Linked DNA regions of Stegostoma tigrinum. The main gene of each other region encodes a partner of the protein of the gene in region 3 in a complex. Links are inferred from orthologs where the notes say so. Each region holds a gene or a part of one and is shown on either strand. Other genes may lie near its edges.

What was found.
Region 1: the proteins of SUMO-conjugating enzyme UBC9 (region 3) and rwdd3 are in contact, whole or in part, in a crystal structure (PDB 4Y1L), measured with the Homo sapiens proteins. The link is inferred for Stegostoma tigrinum from reciprocal best matches to the Homo sapiens genes UBE2I and RWDD3. Residues at the interface, in NP_003336.1 of Homo sapiens: Leu6, Ser7, Ala10, Gln11, Arg13, Lys14, Arg17, Lys30, Gly34, Thr35, Met36, Leu38; in NP_056300.3 of Homo sapiens: Glu3, Pro4, Glu7, Ser10, Val11, Ala13, Ala14, Ile15, Cys17, Pro98, His101, Glu102, Leu105.
Region 2: the proteins of SUMO-conjugating enzyme UBC9 (region 3) and sumo1 are in contact, whole or in part, in a cryo-EM structure (PDB 9B62), measured with the Homo sapiens proteins. The link is inferred for Stegostoma tigrinum from reciprocal best matches to the Homo sapiens genes UBE2I and SUMO1. Residues at the interface, in NP_003336.1 of Homo sapiens: Asp19, Lys48, Asn85, Cys93, Leu94, Ser95, Arg104, Lys110, Gln111, Leu114, Gly115, Glu118, Leu119, Glu122, Asn124, Asp127, Pro128, Ala129; in NP_001005781.1 of Homo sapiens: Gln29, Asp30, Ser31, Gln55, Gly56, Val57, Arg63, Tyr91, Gln92, Glu93, Thr95, Gly96, Gly97.
Region 4: the proteins of SUMO-conjugating enzyme UBC9 (region 3) and ranbp2 are in contact, whole or in part, in a crystal structure (PDB 3UIO), measured with the Homo sapiens proteins. The link is inferred for Stegostoma tigrinum from reciprocal best matches to the Homo sapiens genes UBE2I and RANBP2. Residues at the interface, in NP_003336.1 of Homo sapiens: Ile4, Ser7, Arg8, Gln11, Glu12, Arg13, Lys14, Ala15, Arg17, Lys18, Phe22, Gly23, Val25, Val27, Lys30, Met36, Glu42, Cys43, Ala44, Pro46, Gly47, Lys48, Lys49, Trp53, Glu54, Gly55, Gly56, Leu57, Lys59, Pro69; in NP_006258.3 of Homo sapiens: Leu2651, Lys2652, Leu2653, Pro2654, Phe2657, Phe2658, Tyr2660, Tyr2666, Val2667, Glu2669, Glu2671, Glu2672, Asp2673, Asp2674, Glu2675, Asp2676, Phe2677, Ala2680, Val2681, Leu2684, Gly2686, Lys2687, Leu2688, Tyr2689, Leu2690.

Annotation. Positions count from the first base shown.
Region 1 is NC_081361.1:83,531,027-83,538,221, forward strand, and holds the start of rwdd3 (RWD domain-containing protein 3), read right to left. Parts: upstream 3,019-7,195; 5' UTR 3,014-3,018; coding exon 2,893-3,013; intron 1-2,892. UniProt on the Homo sapiens protein: Enhancer of SUMO conjugation.
Region 2 is NC_081384.1:28,437,971-28,445,887, reverse strand, and holds the start of sumo1 (small ubiquitin-related modifier 1), read right to left. Parts: upstream 3,006-7,917; 5' UTR 2,899-3,005; coding exon 2,887-2,898; intron 1-2,886. UniProt on the Homo sapiens protein: Ubiquitin-like protein that can be covalently attached to proteins as a monomer or a lysine-linked polymer.
Region 3 is NC_081391.1:9,384,619-9,392,386, reverse strand, and holds the start of SUMO-conjugating enzyme UBC9, read right to left. Parts: upstream 3,006-7,768; 5' UTR 2,807-3,005; intron 1-2,806. UniProt on the Homo sapiens protein: Accepts the ubiquitin-like proteins SUMO1, SUMO2, SUMO3, SUMO4 and SUMO1P1/SUMO5 from the UBLE1A-UBLE1B E1 complex and catalyzes their covalent attachment to other proteins with the help of an E3 ligase such as RANBP2, CBX4 and ZNF451.
Region 4 is NC_081359.1:65,881,698-65,889,303, reverse strand, and holds the start of ranbp2 (E3 SUMO-protein ligase RanBP2), read right to left. Parts: upstream 3,014-7,606; 5' UTR 2,847-3,013; coding exon 2,772-2,846; intron 1,535-2,771; coding exon 1,467-1,534; intron 1-1,466. UniProt on the Homo sapiens protein: E3 SUMO-protein ligase which facilitates SUMO1 and SUMO2 conjugation by UBE2I. Involved in transport factor (Ran-GTP, karyopherin)-mediated protein import via the F-G repeat-containing domain which acts as a docking site for substrates.

The DNA.
Region 1 (7,195 bases), on a different chromosome or scaffold from region 3:
ACCGAAGCAACCAGAGGAAAGCCATACAGACAGTTGCCCAAGGCTGGAACTGATCCCCAGTTCCCTTTCGCTGACCAGTACTAACCACTGAGCCACTGTGCTGCCCTTGAAATGTGCTGAAATATAACAGCAACTACTAAAATGCCTTTGTAAAACATTTTTCATTATCTTTGGATAGGTCACGGAAGTGTTTTATTGTCAGGGACATAGTAAAAACCACCAATGCTGGCGTCAGAGATATCACAGCGTGGAGCAGAAGGAACACAGCAGGCCAGGCAGCACCAGAGGAGCAGGGAAGCTGACGTTTTGAGTCGGGACCCTTCGGAGGGATGGGGCTGGGGAAGGTAGGTGGGATGGTGATAGGTGAGTGCAGGTAGGTCGTGGCAGGGATTGGTCAGTGAGATAGGAGGAGCAGATGGGTTAGGAAGGAAGATGGACAGGTTGTGTTAGATCGAGGAGGCGGGGATGAGAGAGAGGGTTGGCCATGGGAATGAGGCCAGGGGTGGGGAGATTTAGTAAAGTCCACTTTGAGGCCAGTGGGTTGGAGGTGCTGCTCCTCGAGTTTATGGGTGGCATCATTGTGACCCTGGAGGAGGCGCTGGATATCGTCAAGGAAGTGAATTTAGTTTTAGTCACTATAGTTTTGCAGGCAAATGCAGCTGTCAAAGCATGCACAGTAACAGCAATGTGATATATTACCTCATGCTCTGACATCAGCATCATCACAGAAACCTTACATTGTGGAAATAGGCCCTCAGCCCAACAGGTCCACATTGGCCCTCATAACATCCCACCCAGACCCACCCCCTATACCCTACCTAATCTACACATCCCTGAACACAATGGGCAATTTAGCATGGCCAATCCACCTCACCTACACATCTTTGGTATGTGGAGGAAGCCCACACAGACATGGGGAGAACAAGCAAACTCCATACAGACAGTTACCTGAGGGTGGGAATCAAACCCAGGTCGCTGGCTCTGTGACACAGCAGTGCTAACCACTGAGCCAAACTGGCTGAGGGATACTGGCTGCTAAGGTTCCTAGAAAATTCCAAATAGTGTCATCAGGCCGATCTGAGAGAGCAACCATCTGCTCAGTTTAACATCTTATTCGAAAGACAGCGCCTACAACAACGCAACACTTCCCACAGTAACGTAATGAGGTGCCATTTTCAACTCTTGTGCTCTGGCCTGAGGAGGGTGAATTGACCTCAAAGCTTAATAAATCAAAGATGAGAGCGTCGTCACTGAGCCAAGGTTCATACTAAATAGACTTGAATGTTATAATTCCGGCCAGAAGGCACAAAAATTTGATTAATACTCTTACATCAGTGATGCCATTAATCTCCCATGACACTAATCCACCGACATCATAACCAAATTAACTATGCAGATGACAGATGCTTAAAGCAACACCAACACCAACACCAGAGTTGGGTGATCTGAGGTGGTGGAAGGCGCTACATAAATGCAGGTTCTTTCCTCCTTATTTTTTGGATGAGGAATCTAACATATGGATCTGCAATGGGCCAGCAATCCTGCAGATAATGTTCAGAATTCTTGTGAAAATTGACAAGCATTTTCACAATTTTGCTTTATTTTATCCTTTAGCAGTAGGATTGAAAAAAACCAAAGGACACAGGTTTGAGGTGAATGGCAAAAGAAGCAATGGCAGTCTTTGGAAAGACATTTTTCCGTGAGCGGTTATGATCTGGAAGATGCTGAGAGTGTGTTGGAAACAGGTTCAATTGTGGCTCTGGAAAGAAAATTGATAACTTTCTGAATCACAGACTTGTTATGATACAGAAGGGCGTCATTATTCCATTGTTAAAACAAATACTGAAAGAACTGCAGATGCTTTAAATCAGAAACAAAAACGGAAGTTGCTGGAAAAACTCAGCAAGTCTGTGGAGAGAATTCGGAGTTAACATTTCAGGGCCAATGACCTTTCCTCAGAACTGCTCTGAAGACTGCACTGGAATGTTAACTCTTCCACTGAGTCCAAACAGACTCTCCAATGAACATTATAACTTAGCACCACATTTTTCTCATTTCTTTACAAATTGTTTCTATGCAAATAAGCATCTAATGCCCTCATAAATGCCTCAATTGACTGCCTCCACCACATTGCCAGGCAATCCATTCCAGGCCCAAATCACTTGCATGAAAAGGACTTTTCATTATATCATTTTGCAACATTTGTTAATCACTTTTACACTGTGCCCTCTCATTCTTGATCCTTTTATGAGTGGGAATAGTTTCCTCCTATCTACTGTCTCCAGATCTCTCATAGTTTTGAAACTTTCCAGCAGATCTTCTCTTAGCCTTCTTATTCCTCAGGAGAGCAGTCCCACAGGCTCTCCAACATATTAACTCAAGAGAAAAACAAATAACGAGTCTAAAAGAAAAAATGGCAAGTGTATGTAACTAGGAGAGTCACACTTAGACGAAAGCAGCACCTACATGGCACACTGAAAGGCCACTTTGTCTATTTTGCTATAATTCTATGTCTGACTTGTAGAAACACAGGAGTTTCACGGGGGAGCAGGAGATTCAAGGTCTCTGTGCATGGAATGCTGGATATTCAGAGAGAGATCAAGAGATCCACTGTCTTTTTGTCTCAGCTGCAGGAATCTCACTGAGGGTTCAGGAGATCCATGCTCTATTTCTCTGAGCAACAGGAATCTAATTGAGTGATCAGGAGATCCAGGGTCTATGTGTAGCAGGAATCTCACAGAGGGTTCAGGAGATCCAGGGTCTATGTCTCTGGGCTCAGGAATCTCACTGAGGTTCAGGAGTTCGCCCGGAATCTCACTGAGGGATCAGGAGATGCAGAATCTGAGCTGCAGCAATTTAACCGCCGGATCCCGAAGAGCTGCAAATCTTCACCTGGTTCCGAGAGCAGCTGGAAATCGCCGCTGTAAATGGAGCCCAGAGCAGACACTTCCTCCTGTGCGGCCATGAAGGTTGAAACGGGGCGTGGAACAAGTTCCGGAGGTGGAGGCTTCATCCCCCCCCCACCCTTCCGCTGGCCGGGCTCCCGGCACTGACAGGCGGCGGGGCGGGGCAGCTACAGCGGCTGTCTGCGGTGGGGCTGGCCGGGGGAGGCGGGGAAAGAATCAGGCACTGTGGGGAACCCTAATCCTAATCTTTTTATTAAAAAAAGCTTGCAAAGCAGATTTAGCAACAAGACAACCTTATTTGTGGGGGGAAAGGCAGTAAGATTGTAACATACCTTTCAGATTGCTGTTACATTGAAATGTTGGGACATTTACACAAAGTTCTCTGAAGGGCAGGAGAATCTCAGCTAAATCTATCGGGCTCCAGCTGAGACCCCAGCTACTGGTGTGAAATTGAATCTCTGTTTGCACTGTAAATGAACTTTCGTATGTAACAGTGCTGCAATAATACGGCTTCAAAGAAGAAATAGCTATTTTCCAATGTCCTGGTCAATGTTTATTCTCTCATCAATGTGAGAATGACAGTGAGGGGCACAGATTTTGCACCTGAATCTGATGGTTGCTCTTTGAACTGTAATGTTTCTATTTTGGATATGAACAGACCACAGTACCCATTTAGTTTGTAGTGATTATAAATGCTCTTTAGGCTATACCCAATACTATCAACTTCGGTCCAACATGACAGTTTACAAATCCAACACATGGGAAAGTATAATGTATTAGTGTAAAATGTATAAAACAGTGGGTGACATTTTTAAACTACAATTAATCATTTTCACTAATAGTACACTAGGTGGGTCAGAATTTTCTTTAAAAAAAATGTTGTTAAAGGGTTATCTTTATACTTATTACATTGTGAGAGCGTTTGAGATAGAAATGCAACACTGCACCAAGTTAGACTCCTGGCTTTCTGTAACCATGTGACATCTACAATGAGGTACACTCAGTGCAGATATCCGTTTCAGGGTCAGTTCAATAAAGACACAGTGGAGGCAACATTGCTTGTGAATTAAAATCCCATTGCTGGGATTTAGAATTTTTAAAAATTACTTGGATGAGCACCAAAAAGTCATAACATTCAAGTCTACAGGCCTAGTGCTGGAAAGTCAGACCAGTGTAGATTTAGCATCATTTTGGCAATACAGACTCAAAGGACCAAAAGGCCTTTTCTGAACTGTATGATTCAATGAAGAGCTGTTTAGAGGCATAGCTACTAAAAGACAAACGCAGAAATATTTAGATCTGCTGAAACACTGCTAAAAGCTATAGTAAGTCAAAAACTGGACAAAGAGCAAGCCGCAGCTGAAAGGCTAAGCAAGATGCAATCAGTGCCACTTTTCCTCTCCCATACCAGTCGAAATGAATTTTGAAATGAAACAGGACTGACAATTTTATCATGACAAAATGCAATAGATTTACTTGATAAGCCAGACCAGGTATGAGCAGTTAGATTTTTTTCACTTTTGGGGCAAAATTGTTTCAAAGTATGTTCCACACAAAATCTCTGAAGAAAAAACTGCAGAAAGCTTCAAAACCTCAAGGGCAAATATTGATCCCAAAATGAACATAGGTTATGAATGGTACACAGTCAACTTTAGGGCCCAAGATGAAAAGATCAATTCTTAGAATCCAATAGCAATTAAAAAACAATTTTATGAAAGACTGGTTTGCATTAGGCATAAGAAAGTCTGCTGTAAGAGCACACCTACTGAGAGAGGAGAAACTTGATGGCACTGAGGATCAACGATTTTGTCATTGGGTGGGTCTGGTGCTGGCGACAGTTAAGTGCCATCATGGTCATCACAGCGATATCGAGGTGGGCCGAGCAGCAAGAGATGCGACCCTGGCATTGGTAGGTTCAGTGCAGTTGGTGGCAAGGCGGTGGCGGAGGAAATCAGCCCAGCAGCAAAATATGGCGCTTGAAGAGTGCAATTTCAATATTGATTGGGTCAGGTGTAGACAATAGTGAGACAGTGAACGAAGGATGTCAGTGCAGGCATCATTGATGATGAGATAACACAGTATGGAGCTGGAGGAACACAACAGACCAGGCAGCATCAGAGGAGCAGGAAAGTTGATGTTTCGGGTCAGGACTGTAAAATACACATGACAATAAAATCACTCATCGTCATTTGTCATTCATCATAAATAAAGTCGTTCATCATTACTCTCGTGAAAGCAAGCAACATGTGCAAAAGCACTGAGGTTACCAATCAGCAGCTACAGAATATTCATGCCAGAAAACACACCAGGCCTTGCATTGTGCTGATAGACATTCCAGCAGAAATGGAGGAACAATCACAGTCAAAGGGCAAGATGCAAATCCTGCAAATGATGTCACAGAAAGGCACAGAAGGCATATCTGGCATGGGGAAAGCTGTGGTCTCATGTCAGGAAGCTGAATAATTTTGAAAACAAGTGTCTAGCCAGTAGGAAGCACAACAAGCAGGTATAGATGGCCACTGGAGAGATATCGGCTGAAGACACTGCATCATAGAACATAGAACAGTACAGCACAGCACAGTACAGGCCCTTCAGCCCACCATGTTGTGCCAAATTTTTACCCTAAACCTAAGATCTATCTAACTTCCACCCCTACCTTATACTATCATCCATATGACTATCTAATAGCCGCCTAAATGCCCCTAATGAGGCCGGCTCCACTACCGTCTCTGGCAATGCGTTCCACGCCCCTACCACTCTCTGAATAAAGAACCTACATCTGACGTCTCCCCAAATCTACCTCCACTCACTTTAAAACTATGCCCCCTCATAATAGCTACCTCCACCCTTGGAAAAAGTCTGTGGCTGTCTACTCTATCTATACCTCTGATCATTTTGTCCACTTGTATATCTATCATAAAACAGGTTCAAGCAGTTCACTAAGTTACTAATTGTTTATGATTGTTGGAATGTTGACCACAGACGGAGGACATCAGGTAACATAAAATGTTAGATAGAGCCCAGTGCTTCATGCAATTTCATGATATTTACACCTACAAAGAGAGAAACAGGGTGTTCCAAAAGTAAACTTAAGGATTGTACCGTAGTCTTGCTAAAGGGACAGATTATTCAGTCAGCACAATGCAATGGCAGTAACAAAGATCGAAATACCAAGCAAATACTATTCATCTCAGCTAGCTGAAGTCTAGAGCATGGACTAGTAACCCTCAAGAAGCCAAAGGAGATTTGCAATGTGTCACTGCACACTAAACCATTGACTGGAGGACAGATCCCAGAGGAATACCATGCATTTACAAGTTTAGGACGTTTTTCTGAAGAATATCATCACAACATAGAAAAGAGTGTGAGACCAATTTAGTATCTGTCAAGGAAAGTTGCAGCTTCCCTCAAGGCCAAGTTGAGCTGCAAAAGGAGGCAATAATTCAGGAACATATTTAGAATGGATTAACAGCATGGTAGCAAAGCAACAACATGGAAAGTTAGAAGAATAAGAAAAATAGCAAATTATTGTGATGTGTAATTTTACAAAAAAATACAGTGCAAAGTTTTATAAGTTGCCATACCACAATGCCTACATTAATGACAAAAGGAAAAAACAGTAAAAGTTCATCACAGTACAATTAACAGCTCCTGGGGTTGGGGTACACTGGAAATCTGGGCTGAGACTGCCACACCGGGTCGAGGTGAGACCTCTGCGTCAGGACTAGGCCTCCATGTTGGGCCATTGAAAGACCTAGAAGCTGCCTCTGCAGCAAGGATGGGACATCCGTGTCGGGACTAGACCTTCACGCCGAGCTAATGGAATAGTCAGAAGCCACTGGAGAAGACCTCTACGCCAGACCAAGACTGCCCCACCCAGCCAAACGTGTCCCACCCCACACCAAGCCTATGCCACCATTATGGGCCGCCATTAGAAGCCACCACATCGCTGGGCCTGGGCTGGGAGAAAAAACATCATCCACAGAAGTTGTTTAAAGAAGGAAAGGTACCAAAATAAATGGTAATATTAAAATAAAAGAAAGAAAATAAGTAAAGTGATGGAGTAGATAAGCTTCGGGCTGCTGGGCTGAGGAACCTGCACATTGTGCTGCTACACTTCAACCATCTTGGAGAGCGTGCATTGATCTAAAGGACCTAAATAAAGCTCCCTGCCAGTGCCAACCATCAACCATAACTTTCAACAGCAAAAGCCTTCACTATCCTAGATATGATGATTAGTTATTAGGAAGTGAAGCTGAATGTAAGCTACATATATTCCAGGAACATGG
Region 2 (7,917 bases), on a different chromosome or scaffold from region 3:
CAGTTAACTGTCAATCATAAATTCTCAGGCAAAGGTAGATGGATTTTGATCTGTGTGGGCATTTCCATGGCAATGTAACAGAGTTTGAACAGCTCCATGGCTCTTTTTTGAAAAAGGTGCCATGAAGGGATAAATGTCTTTGTCTCCACAAAGCAGGATTCTGAGTATTTAACTTACATAGCTTCTAGCATGCACAAATATCTACTCGCTAACCTTAAATTGGTTTCAACTGTAACTCTTAGCATAGTCTGGATTAAGCAATAAATTATTTTCAATGGCAGAATCAGATCTAATGGTGGGTCCACTTTTCTGATGCTTGGAAGCACAGGCTAGTTGAGTGGCATGTTGCAAGTTGCAAGTTGCGAATAGTCACTGGGATGCTTGATGCAATCTGCCAGTCATATGGCCCATGTGATACCACATCAGCACTGGCAATCATATCATGTTATTCATTTGTATGGTAGGTAAAAACATCTGTCTGGTTTGTCAACAGCATCCTGTCAGTGCAGAAATCGACTCATGAATTTACTGAAAGTAGAAGAGAGAGACAGCTAGCTGCAACTATTGTTCAAACTTTTAAAACACTCCCATTCCAGTGGAATCTGAGGTAGACTGGTGACTGGTTTCTTGTATTGTAGTTCTCATGAGTGCAAGATAAAACGTTTCAATTTCTAATCTCCCTTTAAGAATGCATAAATCATGTCCACTGGAGTATATGGTGAGTTGTACTCAATATTGCACTTCAATGGAACATTGAGAGCAAAAGACGAAGGCATTGAGCCAATGAGTTCTGCATCAAAGGAAAACCGCTTGACAACAATATTTTGACTGGCCCCTTGACTAGGTGACCATGGTTGTGTGGGACTAGTGCAGCAGAGAAGATGCACAAACTGTCTCTTATATGAAGGCACTGAAATGTCTGTTTTCCACTTCCCTTTCTCTGCAAATACCCTACTGGAGGAATAAAGTGCCCTTAAATGAAGTAAAAGCAAAAGTTCTCAACAAATGAATGAAATAGAGCAACAGCATGAAATAAAGCCAAGAGCTAAAAGGAATTCAACACAAGAGAAAGAAAGCAACTCATCAAATCCTGTAATCCAGACCAGTGCTACTGAACTGTTTCTCACAGGTTTTCATCTCTTTTTCCAACCTCAATATTTGTATCTGGATGTTCATAAAGAGAGGTAAAATTTAAGAAAAGATAGAGTTTAAGTTGCACAGTTATAAGTGAAGAAATATGAATTGGTAATTGCCATTGATTGAAGACATTTGTTTGAAATAAACAATTATTTGATTGTTAAATACAGAAGCTGAGTGAGCAACATTGCTTCTAACCTACACCACTCAGAGATTCTCCACTCATTGATCAGTGTCCTGACACATTGGCATCGGAACCAGAAGCCACTACCGTGCACAGACCTCAGAAGTCCGACCAGCAAAACAAAAATACACAGCAAATATAGTTGGTGAGCATGATTTTTTAACTGGAGTTTATCAGTCAGGTAAACTGGGCGCTTTGGATAGTTCGACTGAATCTCTTCATATTTGTGATGATGCCAAAAATACAGCATACTACTTAGCAAATTTTGACAAAAACCAAAGAGTAACTTCTGACCTCAGGGCCTTGGTTTATCAAAACATCTTTGTTTCCTCAACAAAAGCAGTTATACATATTTTCAAACAAATAGAATGTTAGAAACATGGAACATTAGAAACAAAGCATTCCTCATCTCAACTGATTATGATATATAATAAGCTTCCTTTCAAGCCAATCTGCAGTACAAGGGTCTGTTTTTCTAGTTGATCTGTTAGGCCAAACAGACAGTTTAAACTCAGTTCACTCATATCTAGTGGGTCTAGGCCCGAAACGTCAGCTTTTGTGCTCCTGAGATGCTGCTTGGCCTGCTGTGTTCATCCAGCTTCACACTTTGTCATCTTGGATTCTCCAGCATATGCAGCTCCCATTATCTCTGATCACTCATATCTAGTGCTGTGCGGCTCAGCTTCAAGTAATTTACTTGTCAGCGCAGTTTAAACTTGGTAACTTGTATGAATTAGAACACAATCAATTCTGCTGGTGATAGAGGAATTAGTATTGTTTTGTTCAACATGCTAAACACAGCCTATATGTATTGCCTCTGCAGTCACACATGATGCAGAATTATACTGTGGACATATGGAAAAACATTTAAAAAATCAAGTTCAAGCAGTTATTACAGTAAGCACACGATAAGAACTAAACCTCATCATACTTTTAATTCTGTTCCCTAGCCTAACTGGGAATAATTTTGTTCACGATCTTCAATTAATCATTTTAATTAATCTCAAAGTACTTGAACTAGAATTGACAGATCTAATTGTGAGAAACAGGACTTGAATATACATAATCCATTTTGTTACGTATGAATATTTTTAATTAACATCATTGGATTGATTAGATGCTGTCTTAAATTATGTACAATATATTGACCATGTAATTTATAACCAGCCCATTTTGTCATGAAAAACTCCAAAGATTCAATACCAACTATAACATACATAATGTACATGTACGCCAGGATAGGCTAATTATAACAATGAAAATTAGGCTGCATTCGATCGTTAGCTCCTCTACTTCGCTGTACAGTCCTTAAGCAGAATTCAAAACTACCCCCCTCCAAAGTTACACTTTCACTATAAGTACATTTTACAACCAATTTAGATCAAAACAGACCTGCAAGGCGCGTCCCCGATCTACGAGGCGCGCACCCAAGATTTCTTCAGCTTCCTTCCCTTCCGCCTCCATTTGAACCCCGTGTTGAGTTGCAATGTTATACTCAGTGACCGAAACGCAAAGCAATACTAGCACAATATTTGTTCTTCTAAAAATGAAACGTAACCACCTACCTGATCAGACATCTTAACGTCGGACAGATGTAGTTTGAGGAATTCAACCACCAATAAATAGCAACTCTCTCACCGGCCACTTCTGCGCACCGACCAAGCACTTAAACGCGTCATGAGCGTCATGACGCACAAAGCATTACGCATGAGTCTCGTTCTCCATGCATCCTGGGAGTTGCAGTTTTTCCCGTTTGTATTCCTCACTCACTCAGCGCCTTCACTTACAGCGCCACCTGTTATGGAATGGATTTCTAGTTCCGGGTGCGCTTTCTTCCACCATCAATCGACGCAACAAAAGAGAAAACGACATTTTACACAAGGAACTATGGGAATAAGCTTTATTTTAAATGTTAGCTGAAAGGCCCAAACTACAGTAGTTTAAAAGTCTAATCCTAGGTTCTCCAATTGTATCATCGTTTCTCAAATGCCTCGGCACGCAAGTATTACTTTGCAGGAATTTTAGTTTTTATTTGTGGTTTGCAGATCTACACTGTTTGGTAAACTTCTGACTTGTTAAAGAGTTGTTAGCATTGTAATGGGAGTGGCAGTGAGATGAGAATATGTGCTCGAAAATACTGGAGGCACTTTGCAGATCAGGCCGTAGCTAGAACAAGAAACGATCAGGTGGATGATTTAAATATAAACAGCTTTTAAATTAAAAAAACAAAGCAAACAAAAAGTGACTTGTGGTGCAATGGTTAAATGTCCCTATCTCTGAAACGGCCTGTATTGGAGGTGTGACATGACATGTCTAAAGAGGCTGGTTTTAAAAACTATAGCCCAGAAAAGGGAAAGAATAAAAATAAAAACTCATCTATTTTAGAGTACAAGGCAGGAGAAATCTTAACCACAGTATTGTAAAGAAAGAGCCAAATATTGAAACATCAAGAAATTTTGTATCAAAGTCACGTTTTTGTTCTAAATTATGGACTAATATTAATAATCTAGTTTGTTATAATTTAATTAGTTTGGCTGACTGGAATTTGGAGTTTTGCTGGGATAGTACTTGGCACTTTTCTCCAGTTTGCTCAAGTGTCCTGATCTTCAGATCCCATGAGCCCCTTCCTCTTTAAACTGCTTCTTGTGTTTACTTTTAGCAAAACTCAGAGCCTCCTGCTTGCCCTGGGAATTGACATTACTCATTTGCCAACCTACTCCAGCAGATGCAGAACTTCTTTTCTATGGAATTTGGAGCTGGCAGGGAATCATCCTGGTGGTGGCAGAAGTGGGGTCTGCCAACCATAGGACACACTTGATAAGTAGTCTGATGGTGATTTACTGATGGGCACCCTGCAGGGCTAAGCAAGGTGAGCCATGTCATGTTTTATTAAACTTTCCACTTGAGATAAATTTGTTAGGTTATAATAGTTTCTGGCTCAAAACACATAAGCAAATCGAAATAAGAGATGCTGGAGAATCTGAGGTAACAAGGTGTTGAGCTGGATGAACGCAGCAGGCCAGCAGCATCAGAAAAGCAGGAAAGCTGATGTTTCGGGTCTGGACCGTTCTTCAGAAATCATTTCTGAAAAAGGGTCCAGACCCGAAACTTAAGCTTTCCTGCTGTTTTGATGCTGCTTGGCCTGCTGTGCTTATCCAGTTCTATACCTTGTTACCTGCAAATGGAAACAAATGAGGTTTTTAAAAGGGAGACTGGTCTTGATCCTTGCATATTGAATAATAAAGGTTGCCAACTCTGGTTGGACATATTCTGGGAGATGTCATCACATGACAGCCAACATTCCTCCCATAATCTCCTGCTGTTGGCAAGTGAAACATGCATATCGTCACGGAGCCCTACCTTACCAAGGGATTTCAATGGCCCCTGGCTTTGACATTTAAAAATCTGGGTAGCATAACATTAGTGCTTAATTTAGTCTTTCAACAGGTCAGAGGTCTTTATAAATATTTTGTTACAGCATTTGAAAATAATTGACAAATTTTTAAAAATTTCTAACAATGATTTATTGTGCTTTCTGTCTCAGCAGACAGCATGTAATGATAACCAACCTAGAAAAGTATCTCTGGTTTTGAAGAATGAGACAGATTTCTAAAGCTATTGTGTGTTAATTTATTTCTGTATAGCCAAAAACTTCTTATAAAGCTGACATTCAATCATGTCCTTTCTTGTGTCTAAACTCTGGACAGCAATGAGAGGAAACCAGAGTATAGCCTGTTCAAACAAAACTTTTCCAAGCCTAGATCTCACTAGTGCAATTTTGATGAAAGAAGCAACCAATTCACAATTGGCTTATGCATAGTATTACAACTTGCAAATAAGTTTATCAAATACATGAGCTATTTAAGAAGAACTATTGAGGTTCACATGACACTATTATAATAAAATCTCAAAATACTTTGATCAAAGCAGCAATCAATCCACAATTAAAGCAGAAAGATTGATTTCTAGCAACACTAGTATGAATTAAGATTAATGATTTAAGCAGCAAAGTATTACTGAAGTTATTTACCAAGCACAAGCAAAGATATCAAGATCCAAGCTCTAAGTAATTTCAGAAATTACAACAACTTACGGAATCAGGAAACAAGTAGCTTTAAGTTATGTGCAAGGCAGGTAGCAAAAACAGCTCAGGTTCGAGGAAAGACAGGATGGGCATGTTCAGGCTGTAGGCATGCTGTAAGCAGTTTTACTTAGAAATTGCAATCTTGTAATCAAGTTGCAAGTGTTGGCATAAGTGCAGCAGTAATCAAATGGCAAAAGAGATTCTGGTGTAATTTTACATAAAACTTAAGCTGAAACAGTGCATTTAAGATATTTAAACTGTATGCATTACAATTAATCCAAATGCAATAGATAGTGATTTATTTATCCCTGAGATTAAGACCATCCAGTAAGCTTTTTCTGGTACATCCCTCTCTTCCTCTTGTCCAATTATCCCCTCAAAGACCCGAACTTACATCTTTTTCTAGTTTCTCTTCTGTATTTCCCTAATGCACTCTCCCAGCACAACTCATCCATGAGAAACAACTCCTGCTTCCTTTCTATTCTGCGTGAGCAGTTGACCACCCAATTTTTTCCTTCTTGGCTCTCATGTTCGCTGATGAAGAGCCATTTAGAAAACAGTATTTTAAAACTACACTGAGAAAAATAAAGGGTTTGTGTCTATTCTTGTTCAAGAACAACTTTTAGGTTTCTGAGATCTTCTTGCCACTAACATCATAAATATTGTAATTTTCATGCATGTTTTATGTTGGCAGCCTCTGTTCTTTGCTGCTAGATGGCAGATAATCACGTAGGTAAGAGTGAACAATAAAAGACAATATTTAAGTCCAGCATTCCAGAAAAAACCCATTCTAGATGTCAGCTGCAAAAAAAATGACTGCCTTTTTTATGAAATCCCTACAGTGTGGAAACAGGCCCTTCAGCCCAACAAGTCCACATCGACATTCGGAGCATCCCACCCAGACCCATTCCCTTATAACCCACCTAATCTATTCATCCCTGAACACTATGGGCAATTTAGCATGGCCAGTCCACCTAGCCTGCACATCTTTGCATTGTGGGAGGAAACTGCAGCACCCGGAGGAAACCCACGCAGACATGGGGAGAATATGCAAACTCCACACAGACAGTCACCTGAGGGTGGAATCAAACTTGGGTCTCTGGCGCTGTGAAGCTGCAGTGCTAAACATTGAGCCACCGTGCCACAGCAATTCACAATGCGATTAAATGATTGTGTGACTATGTCAAAATGTTGTGAGTGACATTTTACTTTCAATTAGATGCTAATTCACTTTAGTGTTTACTTTAAACATACATGTACACCTGGTGAACAGAGTCCATATCATTACGTTAGCTGTTAATCTTTGTTAGAAATACCGGCAAGATAATGCTACCAACTGTTTGAAAATTTTGTTCAAAAAGGTTAAAACTGTTAAAATGAGTGGCAAAAAATAAAAGAAATTCCCATTTAGCTGAGGAACTGATGCATTGAATATTATTATATGAAGGAGCATGTTGCCTACACAACTACGAAATATAGCCTTGCAATTATCAGCACTTCAGTACTCAGTGAATCCTAACTAGCTAATCTTTTATTTCAGTTTATACTCAAACCAGATGGCAGCACTATACCTCAAGTATCAATTTAGTCCTCTAGCATTCAGAATACAATTAGTTATACTACGTTTCTTCAAAGCAGTCACCAGTAGGCTGCAAGTATTGTATGAAAAAATATACCGTGCAGCCAATTTGTTACTAGTTATTAAAAACTGAAATTTTCATGATTCAAGATGACTACACACTCTGACAAAAATTGAGGACATGTTGTAAAAAACTATGAGGCAAATAGCTTATTAACTGTTAAGTTATGTGTGGGAGTGGAATACTGTTTGTTCAAAATAACCCAGAAATTCTTTTACATCAAATTTATATCAGACTAACAGGCCATTAAGCTCAATTTTTCTACACTGGTGTCTGTGTACCCTACATCCCCCTCAAACCTTATTTCATTTTTTTATTACCATCTCTACTTCTATACATAATTCCATTTTAGAATCAGATTTCCTTAAAATAATGGGAAACTTTCATCAAGCCTCTAATCCTTGCAATTGGGGTCACATGTTCAAACTGCTTATGAGCTGATTTGAAGCAACCTAATCATTGGAAAGGCCTCTATCAGCTGGGGCTACTTTTTGGGAAAATCATGGTGTTTTGTTTACTTAGTGTATCAAGCAAAATTGTGACTTTTTTTGTCAATGGTTGAAATATCCTACATTTCATTGTCCCATGGAGTCTTCAAGAAAAATTTCTCCACAAATTATTGTCTCAGCATGTTCTAGTAGCTGTAGCTGACAAGAATTGAAATTTCATTTAATGGATACATGTTCAAGGTGCAAGAGGACATTTACAGCTGCTAGAGGGAGAGGACAGAGATAGAGAGGATACCGAGACAGGGGAAAGAGGACATTACAACAGGAGGAAAAGGTCATAGTGACAGCATATTGTACTAAAGGAAGAGAAGACAATGCAGTGTGGCAAAGTATATCTGGTGCAATAAAGGAGGGCATTGTGGC
Region 3 (7,768 bases):
CTGCAAAAGCAGGTCAGATGCTTGGAATTCAGAGCCTGGCCACTGTCTAAAAAGCACATGCCTGGAGTGTGATGTAATTAGCTCCACTTGTTTGAATGGCTGCAGCACTAACACCACAATGTGGACATGATTCCATTGGCATTCCACCCAACTTAGCATGACAGCAGTGTATCCCATCTACATGGCATAGTGCAGTTTCCAATGCCCATGCAGAGCAAAAACCAACCACAGTATCCAATGGTTGCTTCAAATTCCAAAGCTACAGCCACACTGAAAGACATGATTAGCACAGACAGAGAAACACATCAATCATCTTGAAAACATATCTTAACCACTAGCCCATAATTCTGGTACTCCCTGTCTAACAAGACAGAAAATAAAAATCACAGGATCTCCAACAGGTCACCACAAACTGCAAGATTCCATCATGAATGAACAAATGACTTTTGTCCAGGCACCCACATCCATTGCATACATACAAACTATAGTTAGGGTCAGACTGTATGACCTTTCCTCCATTGTCCGACAGAGTGCAAGCATCACTGTTTTGTAAAAGGTGGACGAGTCCACAGGAGCAGGGAAGAAAGTAAGGTAAGAAAGTTTGGCCTTCCAAAATTCACCAAGTTTACCACAATAGCTGACTCTAAGTCCTGAACTTAGCAAAAACTAGATGAGAAAGGGTAAGAAATAATTTTCATCTACAGACTACTGTCTAAACACATGCACACATATGAACAGGCTCAGTCGTCATCCAGAAAATTTATATTTGCAATCCAAGTAAACTTCCCAAACGACATCAAAAGAAACTGATGCATAAGGTTTCACTAAGTCTTTTAGTTTGAATGTTAAAAAGTCAACACAAAGGCAAACCAATATGCAAGTCCTATTCTGTAGAAGCCATAAGCTACAGGTTAATAACTGGCACCACTTACCAAGGCAGCTTTCTTAGCATGTGGCACCAAGTGCAGTCAGTCTCAACTTCCAGCAATAGAGTTTGACTGCCTTCTTTGATGCAGGATCTGACTCTCAAGCATTCTCTGATAACTAGCTGTCTACCAGAAAGTGCCAGATTCAATTACCATCAAAACTGCATACTTCTTTCAATTTAGCAATTATAGCCATGACATCTGGACTTTCCCAGAAGCATCTTCATCTGGCTACCCAGTACAATCAATTTCCACAAACCCTGATCTTCATTGCAGCCAGGCAGTTTCCATGGCTTTACAGATTTCAGTTTTCTCAGCAGGCTCCTGTATGGTTTCACTTAGAAACAGAGTCTGTTTTCTTTCTACTGGAAAGGACCAATTGAGGCCTGCTGGTTCATACCTCTAGTTGAAATGAGGTTTAACTCCTAAGGAAACTGAAGCTATGTTCCTTCCTCAGACATCTGATAGCACAGCCAGGGATTTTAATACAGGCAAGATCTTCACAAAGGTCCTCTTGTGGTGCAGTGATAGTGTCCTTAAACCTGGGCTGAGGGGATCAGGCTCAGATCTCACCAGTGTCAGAAGTGCATAATACCATCTCCAAAACAGGTTGGCAACAAAAATGGGTTCAATTTTAAAAATGCTCTTGCCTCTTCTCCACACCCAAATAATAAAACTTGGGTTTCTTTCTTGCTGAAAGTCTTAAAAAAGTTTCACCACAGGAAGTTGACAGTATTACAAAAACTGTTAGCATGGATGCATTTAAGGGTAAGATAATTGAATAAGTGAAAATAAATTGAATTTATTAGGATGCAATGAAGTACACTGAGATAATGTTTAAGTTGGGTCAAATGGACTGCTACTACAAAATCAAAGCATTCAAAGTTACTAAAAGATCAACTCAAATAAGATGACAATATCTGCATAGAACAGTCTCCTTCCTAAATGTATACTACACAGATCATTTAAAAAGTTAACCTTATGCCACTCACTCCAGAAAAATAACCGGTTCTATTCAAGATAGAAACGTTTCCTATAACATTAAACTAATGAACATTAAATCTGCAAAACACTACTTTGCCAGACATCATCTCCCACACATACACTTTGCACATACAGGACTCGTTGCTTTTACAGACACAACAAACTGGGCAATTTCAGCATTATATCTGAACAAGAGACAGCAAGGCAACACAGGGAAATAAAATCAAGACCAATCACCTGCATGTAAAAACATTTAAAGTTGCTTTAACTTCTGAAGTAGCATCAGCAAAACAGATCAATACTAGATTGTCCTTGGCTTTCCCAAGAAGCTTAATTTTTTTCATTAAATAATCATTTTAATTTATTACACAATTCAAATCTTCACCAACATCTACTTTAAATTCATACTTCACACCAAACATTCCCAAAAAGCCACAATATTATGATCATCCGTCCTCAGGAAAACAACAGAGATTAAAACAAACGTTTAGTGGACTTCTATAGCAAAAATTAAAAATCTGTCTCCTCTTCATAAAAGTCGCCACTGACTTTTAAATAAAATCAGTTATTTTCAAAATTTGCCCAAGGCAAACATGTTCCAATTTAAGTTTGATATGGAGCTTAAACAAAGTCAACAGTAAATAGGGAGAGATGCACACCCAAGTATGGAAAAAAAAATCAGATTTACAACAGCTGGAATAAGAAGGAAGAGTGAATGTGTGCCTAGTCTGTGGCTTCTACATAACAGCATGCAGGAAGGTGTCGTAGAAATGAGGAAAGGAAAGGGGGAAAAAGAAGGGAAAGGCTACTTATTAACATCTTAGGAACCACACCCCGTTATTAGAGCGGGGAGAAAAGGGTGCTCTTTAAAAAAAAAGTCGCGAAGCACTTCTTACCTTCAGCGACAGTGTTAATTTGGGGAGGGGAGGGTTGGGGGATGGGGAGGGGAAAGTGCTTCAGGTGACGGAGCTGAAGCGATAACGATGTGTGTGCCTCTCTCCCTCTCCCAGTCCGTCCGTCTCTCCCGCGACTCATTCACATCCACAGAACAACAAGGGAACTGAGTGCAATATGGCGGCGCCAGGACCCCGTCCACCCCGTCAGGCCCCCGACCAGGACGACTACATGCCTGCAAGGAGGGGAGGAGGTTGTGGAGAAAACAAAAAAAAACACTTCCGGTCTGTTTCCCCAGTCCGATGGCCTGTCAGTTGTTTTTCTAAAAAAAACAGACGCAGAAATAGTTCTCAAACGCGGCGTTTTTAATCATCATTCCTCAGTTCCAATACATCCTTTTTAATAACGAAGCAGGTTTTGATAAAGGGCATGTATTTAAAAAGCACATAAAAGCAGGCGCGTATTTTGCCACCTAAAAGATCGAGCGGCCAACCGGTTGGAACCGGTTTGATCCGGTTTCGTTTTGAAAAAAAAACCGTTACGGAGCGTTTCCTCGCGTATTTTCTTTCGTGTTTTTCTCACAGTGTGTGTTTTTCGTAAGTTTAGGTGAAAATTAATTATTTTTGACACTCGTTCCCCCTCCCCCGGTAAAAAGGCCGTTTTAAAGGGGAAACGCCGAAGAATATTCGAGAAGCCACCACATGGCGTCACATGGGGGGGGGGGGGAGTGCTGCTGCGATGACGTCATTGGCTCAACTCGCAGAACTTTCGAGAAGGTGAAGGCTGCGTGGGAGGGACTATAGTGCGGGGCAAAGCCATCAAAAGCCCCCTCTTGGCCACATCTAGTGACTTGTTTTTCTCTGGTCTGAGTAAAGGCTCCACCCAAGATGGGTGCAGCATATAATGAGGCCATTCAGCCTATTGGGGAACAGTGCTGGCTCTTCAGGATAGCCATCTTGCTTTCTGGTTGACCAACTGTTGTTTAGTTTTGGATTATGGCCCACACGGGCTGGTTGGACCAAAGAGCCTGTTCTGTGCTGTGTGATTGTATAAATGTGGCTGGGAGAAACTAAAGGGATGTTTAGCTGTGTGAGTTGCTGGCAGAAGCTTGAGTATGGGGTGTGGAGGACGTGGCACAGTGGATGCACTTGTAAGTGGGGCTTATGTTGTAAGCGGTGCTGGTAAGAAGTTTGCATCTGTGGGGTGAGGGGTGGTCTTGTGAATGAGGAGGTGTTCATGCGATGTTGCATATGTGAAAGATTGGTGGGGGGCATCTGCTGCCGTGTGGTTTGCCCCAATTTTGATGATGTGGATGTGCTGGTGTTGGGTTAGAAATCAAACAACACCAGGTTGTAGTAGGAATTTATAGAAGGCAACATTAACTGTCTATAAATTGTGAACTTTTTGAACAAAATAGAATGTATCTGTGTATAGAAATAAGACCAGTGTGGCTCCAAACCAAAACATAAACAGATTCTAAACAAACCCTCATTACCTAACACACATTGTCTGACCTAAAATGTCACTTTACACTGATGAAACCTTTAATTCTGTCAGGACAGTGACTTGAAAGGAATTTGGGAATTTACATATGCAGAGTAATCAATTAAAACTTCTAACTGCTAAAGATTTGGCAGTATCTTAAGTTTAATACATCCTCATCAGTGGTGTGACCCTCTGATCTTTTACTTAGAAATTTCTGTTTCTTATACTACCTTGCTCGCTGACACCTGAAGAAGAAGTGAGGCTATGAAAACTTGTTTTTGAATAAACCTGTTGGACTATAGCCTGATGTTGTGTGATTTCTGACCTTGTCCAATTTTGAGACTAGGTCCATGCCCCTCCTAGACTTCTATGTGACTGCCCTGAGCACAAGCTGTAAACCTTCCAACCATGTCATGTCTTGCACAATGGAAAGGTGTGCCTGGCATCTGAGACAAAACACCTCCTGTCCAGGCCTGAAGTGGGCCTCTGGGGGGGAAAAAGCCAAATTATAAGACCAATCCAAGAAAATGTGGCACGGTTGATGACCCTGTGTGATAGTCACAAGAAAAAAAATTACTGATGTGCTATTACACCTTTCACCACTTCAAAATGCCCTCAGTGGGTAGTACAGCCATTGAGATACTTTTGGAGCATACTTACTGTTATAAGTAAACCTGCCAGCTAATTTGCATGCAGCAAGGTGCAACAAACAGCAGTGTAATAATAACTATAATCTTTTCATTGATGTTAATTTAGACATAAATAACGGTTCTGGACTAATGAAGATAATCCCTGTTGTTCTTTGCCATGTTTTACAACTCCATTTATATGGTTAGGCAGACTCCGTGTTCAGTTCTTCACCTATTTATTGTCAAAGGTTTTTTCTTGTTTACTTTGTGTGACAATTTGGGATCTTAACTTTTTATGAAAGTCAATATTATTCTTTTTAATCTCTCTCTGATGAAGGGTCACGGCCTGAAATGTCAGCTTTTGTGCTCCTGAGACGCTGCTTGGCCTGCTGTGTTCATCTAGCTCCACACTTTGTTATCTTGGATTCTCCAGCATCTGCAGTTCCCATTATCTCTGATACATTATTCTTTTTAATTTGTTTTCATTGTTAATATGGATTTAAAACTCAAATTTGACCATGATGTAACCAACTGGCTGAAGAAAATAAATGCCCTTTTTGTGTTTAACAGAACCTAGAACTTGCCTTGATGTGGTAAAAGGCGCTGATCCAGTGTTTGTTATTGTAAAATGGCCAGATTGAGGCGTCTAGTTTTGGTGTAGCTATGTTGCATGAATAAGTATTTAATCAAAATATTTTTTACCATCTGTTCAGAATAATGTGAAGCAATGGAGAGATTCACAGCACAAGGAGTACATCCCTGTTGTTCTTAAATATAGCATTATGAGACCTTGATTTCGCAACTAACCCGATAAGCACCTTCAATATAGCAGTGCTCCTTCAGTGGTGTTGTGACATTACAGTTAAGTTAATGATGAACATGGTCTATTGATATTTAATTTCCATCATCTGATTTTAATACCTGGGATCTTTATTGGAATAAATTTAACTTTTCTAAGAGCACAAATACAGAGCTTAAAAAGGCTGGTGTGATCTCCTGACCATATTGAGCAAAACTCATGAAACTGTCAATATACAAGGATCTATTTGAGCCAAAATTAACCAGGTCATGAAAGACACTGAAACTTCGATCTGTTCTTTGTTGATTTACACCTTTCTGGAAGCTATATGTTTGGAGGAATCTGGCCTGCAGATCATCCAGCTTGGTAAAATAATTATGCCAGACACCTGACTCTTCAATGAACTATATTTCAGTCAACAGCTTTGGAGTAGCAAATAGAAAAAGAAAAATGAACCAATCGCAAGAAGCTGGAAGTCTTTTTCTTCCCATCTTTCTCAAAGTCAATGTCTGATGGAAAAAAAACACTTTACAAGAGCAATATTCACCCAGAATGCAAGAAATACGCAAACTTTGGCAAAGTTGAATAAACAACACAACAGCTCAACATTCAGAACTCATCATTCTCAAATTCAAGGACTCTAATAACTTTAAACTGTGCCTGCATTTACCTTCCTCTCTCGGACATCCACCACTTTTTAAAGTGTGGCTGTGTGTGTGTGTGTGTTTTTGGGACTGGAAGGTAATAAAATTCCTCTTTTGCTCAAGAAAATGTTGTATCCTCCTTTTAACCTAACTGATTTCATTTGAAGTGTGATACTTATTTGCTAAAAGAGAAATAAGTATTTGCTATGAGAGGGCTTTAAAAAGATGGGAGGTGTTTTTGTTTCCTGTCCTCACTTGTTAGCAACAAAAATGAGAACAAATTGCACCATTAGAACCCAAGTACAAACAAAAGAATTGGAGTGGATACATAAATTGTTCCATCAAAAAACTTTTTAAGTAAAAGAAACTGAGTCTAAGATTAAAAATTGCTAAAATGGCCACATTTGTTATTAGAGCAAGATAGAATAACATATGAAAAGTTAAAAGCTTTGTCCTTAGAATTAAAAGGGGTAGTTAGACATGAAGTTTCACCCACATTGTAAAATGTGTGGCAAGTATTTAGAGACAGAAACTAATTAGAGCAGCTAAGATTAGAATTAGAATTCCAACAGCTGAAAAGAATTACATGAAAACGCGAGGTTGTGAAGGAAAGAGAAGAGAATTCCAAGAAAGAAAGGACTTTCCAATTCAGACAGCTTGACCTGAGGAGGGAGATAGAAAACTGCTCTGGTAAGGGAGCAAGACTTGCATTTAATGCCTGAATTATTTACATTTATTGATTTAATTCCTAAACTTAATGAGTAAGAGCTGGACACATCTCTTTTGAAAGGTTAGCACTGTATTTAAAGTAGCCAATCCACTGTTGAACATTGCTGTTGTAGAGCAGCTGACAGAAAAAGCTCAAAGATCACTCACTTTGTCTTATGTAGAACATGCCATTTACTATGAAGCAGCATAGGAGACTATTTTAGTGCATATCAGTCTTGCTAGAGGCATTGAGACAAACGTTTTGTACCCTCAAGAAATAATCTACCTGTCCTATATAACTAGAATATACAGGCTTTAAGGTGCTCATTTGTACCCAATAAGTATGGATACTTAAAATTCAGGCCATCTAAGAAAACCTCTGTGAGGTACCATGAGTTGGTCAAAAACTCCATATCGTTTCTATTTCAGACTTCTTTCGAGAAACGTTGGAGAGCAGGGCCCAGACAGCCAGCAGTTCTGGCTGACAGCTAGGGGTTAACACATTGTCTTAGTAACTCAGGAAAGTGGTTGTGGAAGCTGCCGAGACCAGAGAGGGATAAATGTAAGGCAAATGCTAAGACAAGCTGGAGAGAAAAGGGAAACCAGACAAAGAAATCAGAATTGACCCTAAACGTTAACAGGGTAGGTTGAGGTGGGAGACATTTGGGAAATGGCAGAAATGTTACTATATCAGGAAGC
Region 4 (7,606 bases), on a different chromosome or scaffold from region 3:
CAGTCCAGGCAGCATCCTGGTAAACTTCCTTTGCACCCTCTCCAAAGCCTCCGCATCTTTCCTATAACAGGGCGACCAGAACTGGACACAATACTCCAAGTGTGGACTCACCAGGGTTTTGTAGAGCTGCAGCATAACCTCGCAGCTCTTAAACTTGATCCCCCTGTTAATGAAAGCCAAAACACCATATGCTTTCTTAACAACCTTATCCCCTTGGGTAGCAACTTTGAGGGAGCTATGCACTTGAACACCAAGATCCCGCTGTTCCTCCATACTGCCGAGAATCCTGCCTTTAATCCTATATTCAGCATTTAATTTCGACCTTCCAAAATGCATCACTTCGCATTTATCCAGGTTGAACTTTATCTGCCATTTCTCAGCCCAGCTCTGCATTCTGTCAATGTCTCGCTGAAGCCTGCAATAGCCCTTGATACTACCAACAACACCTTCAACCTTTGTGTCATCAGCAAACATAATAACCCACCCCTCAACATTCTCATCCAAGTCATTTATAAAAACTACAAAGAGCAGAGGCCCAAGAACAGAGCCCTGCAGGACACCACTCAGCACTGACCTCCAGGCAGAATACTTACCATCTACAACCACTCTCTGCCTCCTGTCAGCCAACCAATTCTGAATCAAGAGAGCCAAATCACCCTGCATCCCATACCTCCTGACTTTATGAATATTTTCAGCATACAAACAGATGTTTTCCTTCCTCAGAAAAGATGGCAGCTGGGGTGACATTTCTGATGAAGGGTCTAGGTCCGAAACGTCAGCTTTTGTGCTCCTAAGATGCTGCTTGGCCTGTGTTCATCCAGCCCCACACTTTGTTATCTTGGATTCTCCAGCATCTACAATTCCCATTATCTCAGACCTAAAACGTTAACTGGTCGTTTCTTCACAGATACTACTATACCTGTTGAGCTTTTCTGGCAACTTGTTTTTGTTCCTGATTAGCATCCATACCTTCAGTTTTTCAGTCACAGGCTATAGAATACTTTCCCTATAGCTCTCTGCCTCGCCTTCCTCCTTTAAGGCACAAAGGACCTGCTCCTACGACAGTTTTTTGTTATCTGTCTTTTTAAGTCAAATGGCTCAGTCTCATATACCATATTATAGTGCTTTTTTCAAGCACATCAGGACAATTCACTATTTTAAAGCACTGTAGGAGTTGATCTTCCTCTCTGTATACATTACATACACACTAACATCAGGAACAGAAAAACATCTGGTAACAGAATACAATTGGAAAAGTTAGAGTTTAAAACTGGATACAGAGAACAAGATGGATAACATAAGTATTTTAAAAGATTTCAGCATTTATATTGTTTCTTATCACTACAACATGGATTTTGTGGTTTTGATTAGTCAGCCAACTTTAGTCAGTGCATAAACTGTAAAACTTTTAGGATAGCCCAAGGAGATTTGTTTTAAAATAGCACATACTGGAAAAAATTCTTTACCTCTTTGCAAGTTCATACTCCTTGGCTTCATAATAGAGTTTTGCAAACAAAAACCCTTTGAGGGATTTCTGAAAAGGAAGTTGGAAGGTGATGTGAAATAGACAAAAATTTAAAGAGTACACTTCAGAAAAATTCCTGGGGATATACAAATTTGTTTAACAGCTCGCTGCATAAAATTCATCAATCGGTACAAACCATTATTACATCTGCAAACAAAATAAGAAGTCAATGAACTACTTGTAGCAATTCGTATATTTCACATGCTGATGTGAATAGAAACTATCTATTAAGCCTCTATCAGAGATAATGGGAACTGCAGATGCTGGAGATTCCAAGATAATAAAATGTGAGGCTGGATGAACACAGCAGGCCAAGCAGCATCTCAGGAGCACAAAAGCTGACGTTTCGGGCCTAGACCCTTCATCAGAGAGGGGGATGGGGGGAGGGAACTGGAATAAATAGGGAGAGAGGGGGAGGCGGGCCGAAGATGGAGAGCAAAGAAGATAGGTGGAGAGGGTGTAGGTGGGGAGGTAGGGAGGGGATAGGTCAGTCCAGGGAAGACGGACAGGTCAAGGAGGTGGGATGAGGTTAGTAGGTAGCTGGGGGTGCGGCTGGGGGTGGGAGGAAGGGATGGGTGAGAGGAAGAACCGGTTAGGGAGGCAGAGACAGGTTGGACTGGTTTTGGGATGCAGTGGGTGGGGGGGAAGAGCTGGGCTGGTTGTGTGGTGCAGTGGGGGGAGGGGGTGAACTGGGCTGGTTTAGGGATGCAGTGGGGGAAGGGGAGATTTTGAAACTGGTGAAGTCCACATTGATACCATATGGCTGCAGGGTTCCCAGGCGGAATATGAGTTGCTGTTCCTGCAACCTTCGGGTGGCATCATTGTGGGACTGCAGGAGGCCCATGATGGACATGTCATCAAGAGAATGGGAGGGGGAGTGGAAATGGTGTGCGACTGGGAGGTGCAGTTGTTTGTTGCGAACTGAGCGGAGGTGTTCTGCAAAGCGGTCCCCAAGCCTATTAAGCCTCTATGACTAGTTTAGTTTCTTCAAAAGCGGGATCAAAACTGAAAGTCTGGATGAGCTTAGTTTATAGAATCCAGCATCGCCAAACTTCAAGAGACCACTGCCGCCTGCACTATGAAACAAAGTGCTAAACTACAGCTGCTTAACAAATTGATAGATTTTTGCTTAACTCCTCAGAACACAACCGCAGAGCCTGCGAGGGGCGAGGCCTAGGAGCTGAGGCCACAATCTGCACTGCCCGCGCTTTCCTGGCCAGCGCAGCCCGCAGCGTTGGACACTCACCTCACGGGGCGACAGCGGCGTGACGCCCTGCACCGAGGCAATGTACCTATCCACCTCGGCCTTGCTGCGCATCATGCCTCAGGCCGCTGTGTGTACAAGGTTTGATAAACGCCGCTCCTCAACAGACCAGTTCCGGTCCTACACCATCCCTTCCGATGGTGAACACAGAGCTTTCAACACCGGTTCCGCGATGCCGCGCGGCCAAACTGTGCCTAATGGCGCACACTGCGCCTGAGCCTTCGCCCGACGCTCGCCAATCACAGGCCTGCCGCTGACGTCACAAGGAACGCCGGACGTAATCCCGAGGTAACGGCCACAACGTATGCGAGATTACATCCAAATCTCGCGAGGTTGAAGTTTTGGATTCGAATGAGCAGTTTTATTTTGATGCTCCATAGTGAGAGGTTTAATCCGGTCACTGAACGTGTGTTCACACATAAAAGGTGTAATCTTTTGTCACAAACTCACAGGAGGTCAGTTTATTTTGTGCAAAAACAGAAATTGCTGGAAAACCTCGGCAGGTCTGGCAGTATCTGTGAAGATAGATTAATAAGAGAACTCACTTATTCAGAAAGGGTCAGGACGTGTAACGTTATCTCTGCATTCTCTCCACAGATGCTGCCAGACTTGCTGAGCTTTTCCACTAGTTTTTGTTTTTGTTTCAAATTCTGGCATCTGGTTTCGAATCTAGTTTGTATTATGTCTTTATTGCATTGGCACTAAATTGAATATTTTGTAGTGAGCAAAAGGCAGGTTACTATGGCAAACCATGAGCACTTGAGTACCACTCTGTGTACTTTGTGTTGTATTTCTATGCCGAACAACATTTTCAGTTGCAAAAATAACAAAATTGCATGGCATGTGTTACTATTTACAATGTGGGACACCGAAACTACCAAATATGCACGTGTTCCAATCTATTATATAAAAAAAAAGAACTGCAGATGTTGGAAATCAGAAACAAAAACAGAAATTACTGGAAAACTCAGCAGGCCAGGCAGGATCTGTAAAGAGGAAGACAGTTTACATTTCACATGCAGTGACTCTTCATCAGAAAGATTCTAATAAAGGGTCACTGGTCTCAAAAGGTTAACTCTTATTGACTGGCTACTAACAGTGAAAAAAACTGCTCCATTGTATGAATTTATGCTCCTGCAGTTGCAACCATAAATTGATGCATTCATTTCCACTGTACACAATTGAAATGACAACTGCTCTAGGCAAGTTGTAGGTTACCACTTGGGTTGACTTTTTCGAAGTCAGAAGTTACAGGACCCTCGGCTATAGTCGAACAGGTTTATTTGAAATCACAAGCTTTTGGAGCACCTTCATCAGGTGGCTTTGACTGCTGAAGCCAGACAGGAGTGTTGCCTCCCAGTCAGGAAACAATTCAGCAGTCAAAAGTATTCAGCCTCCGATTGTTGGGTAAGCATCCTCCAAAGTGGACTTCAAGAAACACAACAATGCAGAAACACCAAGCAGGGACTGATAACCAAGTTCTGTACCCATGAAGACGGCCTCAACTGTGATCTTGAGTTCATGTCATGCTACATGTGACCTCAACGCACTTCTGCACCTGTAAAGTCTTCCTTATTGGCTGTTTTGACACCATCTCCTTGATAAATTGTCATGATCTCTCATACTTACTACTTTGGTTAGGCCTTCAGCATGTGACTCTTATACCTATCATGTTATTCCAGTCATTTAGTATGTCTCCAGCAACATCTTGCTTTTGATTTTTTGTAATTCTCTCTCTGTCTCAATTAGCCAGATTATAGATCATCCCTTCACTGGGTAATCAGCTGTTGACACTTTTCTCACGGTCCAACACTCATGGTCACCTGCAGAGACTTATTATCTGACACTCCACCCACACCAGTTAGCATGATCTTTTGATCTCTGAGCCCTTGATCTCTCTGCCTATAAACTCTATGTCTGTGTGCTTCTCTCTCACTGCACCCGATCAAAGGGCTACACTCGAAAAGCTTGTGATTTGCAATAAATCTGTTGGGCCAAAACCTGGTGTCCTGTGAGTTCTGACTTTGTCAACCCCAGTCCAAAACCGGCACCTCCATTTAATGATCTCGTCAATATATTGAACGTTGCACCCTGACTGACTCCGCAGTGCTCAACTCTGGAAATGGGTTACTAGTCTTATCAAAATTAAATTTGGATTTCTGCTATTTCAAGATAACAAGTTGTGGAGCTGGATGAACACAGCAGGCCAAGCAGCATCTCAGGAGCACAAAAGCTGACGTTTCGGGCCTAGACCCTTCATCAGAGAGGGGGATGGGGAGAGGGAACTGGAATAAATAGGGAGAGAAGGGGAGGCAGACCGAAGATGGAGAGAAAAGAAGATAGGTGGAGAGGAGAGTATCGGTGAGCAGGTAGGGAGGGGATAGGTCAGTCCAGGGAAGACGGACAGGTCAAGGAGGCGGGATGAGGTGGTAGGTAGGAAATGGAGGTGCGGCTTGAGGTGGGAGGAAGGGATGGGTGAGAGGAAGAACAGGTTAGGGAAGCAGAGACAGGCTGGGCTGGTTTTTGGATGCAGTGGGGGAAGGGGAGATTTTGAAGCTGGTGAAGTCCACATTGATAACATTGGGCTGCAGGGTTCCCAAGCGGAATATGAGTTGCTATTCCTGCAACCTTCGGGTGGCATCATTGTGGCCCATGATGGACATGTCGTCTGAGGAATGGGTGGGGGAGTTAAAATGATTCGCGACTGGGAGGTGCAGTTGTTTGTTGCGAACCGAGTGGAGGTGTTCTGCAAAGCGGTCCCCAAGCCTCTGCTTGGTTCCCCCAATGTAGAGGAAGCCACACCGGGTACAATGGATACAATATACCACATTGGCAGATGTGCAGGTGAACATCTGCTTGATATGGAAGGTCATCTTGGGGCCTGGGATAGGGGTGAGGGAGGAGGTATGGGGGCAAGTGTAGCACTTCCTGTGGTTGCAGGGGAAGGTGCTGGGTGTGGTGGGGTTGGAGGGGAGTGTGGAGCGGACAAGGGAGTCGCGGAGAGATTGGTCTCTCCGGAAGGCAGACAAGGGTGGGGATGGAAAAATAGCTTGGGTGGTGTGGTCAGATTTTAGATGGCGGAAGTGTCGGAAGATGATGCGTTGTATCCGGAGGTTGGTGGGATGGTATGTGAGGGCGAGGGGGATTCTCTTAAGGCGGTTGTGGCGGGGGTGGGGTGTGAGGGATGTGTTGCGGGAAATGCGGGAGACGCGGTCAAGGGCGTTCTCGACCACTGTGGGGGGAAAGTTGCGGTCCTTGAAGAACGTGGACATCTGGGATGTGCGGGAGTGGAATGCCTCATCCTGGGAGCAGATGCGGTGGAGGCAGAGGAATTGGGAATAAGGGATGGAATTTCTGCAGGAGGGTGGGTGGGAGGAGGTGTATTCTAGGTAGCTGATGGAGTCATTGGGCTTTAATTGGACATCAGTTTCTAGCTGGTTAGCTGAGATGGAGACAGAGAGGTCCAGGAAGGTGAGGGATGTGCTGGAGATGGCCCAGGTGAACGTGAGGTTGGGGTGGAAGGTGTTGGTGAAGTGGATGAACTGTTTGAGCTCCTCTGGGGAGCAAGAGGCAATGCCGATATAGTCATCAATGTAACGGAGGAAGAGGTGGGGTTTGGGGCCTGTGTAGGTGCGGAAGAGGGACTGTTCCACGTAACCTACAAAGAGGCAGGCATAGCTTGGGCCCATGCGGGTACCCATGGCCACCCGCTTAGTCTGTAGGAAGTGGGAGGAATCGAAAGAGAAGTTGTTGAGGGTGAGGACGAGTTCGGCTAGGCGGATGAGGGTTTCGGTGGAGGGGGATTGGTCGGGCCTGCGGGACAGGAAGAAGCGGTGGGCCTTGACGCCATCTGCATGGGGAATGCAAGTGTATAGGGACTGGATGTCCATGGTGAAAATGAGGTGTTGGGGGCCAGGGAATTGGAAGTCCTGGACCAAAGGGGAGAAAATGGAGTCCAGATAGGTGGAGATGAGTTCAGTGGGGCAGGAATAGGCTGAGACAATGGGTCGACCAGGGCAGGCAGGTTTGTGGATTTTGGGAAGGAGATAGAAACGGGCCGTGCGGGGTTGGGGAACAATGAGGTTGGTGGCACATCCCAGATGCCCACGTTCTTCAAGGACCACAACTTTCCCCCCGCACTGGTCGAGAACACCCTTGACCGTGTTTTGCGCATTTTCCGCAACACATCCCTCACACCCCGCCCCCGCCACAACCGCCCCCAGGGGATCTCCCTCGTTCTCACATACGACCCCACCAACCTCCGGATACAACGCATCATCCTCCGACACTTCCGACATCTACAATCCGACTCCACACCCAAGCTATTTTTCCATCCCCACCCTCGTCTGCCTTCCGGAGAGACCACTCTCTCCACGACTCTTTTGTCCGCTTCACACTCCCCTCCAACCCCACCACACCCAGCACCTTCCCCTGCAACCGCAGGAAGTGCTACACTTGCCCCCACACCTCCTCCCTCACCCCTATCCCGGCCCCCAAGATGACTATCCATATCAAGCAGATGTTCACCTGCACATCTGCCAATGTGGTATACTGTATCCAGTGTACCCAATGTGGCATCCTCTACATTGAGGAAACCAAGCGGAGACTTGGGGACCACTTTGCAGAACACCTCCGCTCGGTTCGCAACAAACAACTGCACCTCCCAGTTGCGAACCATTTCAACTCCCCCTCCCATTCCTCAGACGACATGTCCATCTTGGGCCTCCTGCAGTGCCACAATGATGCCACCCGAAGGTTGCAAGAACAGCAACTCATATTCCACTTGGGAACCCTACAGCCCAATGTTATCAATGTGG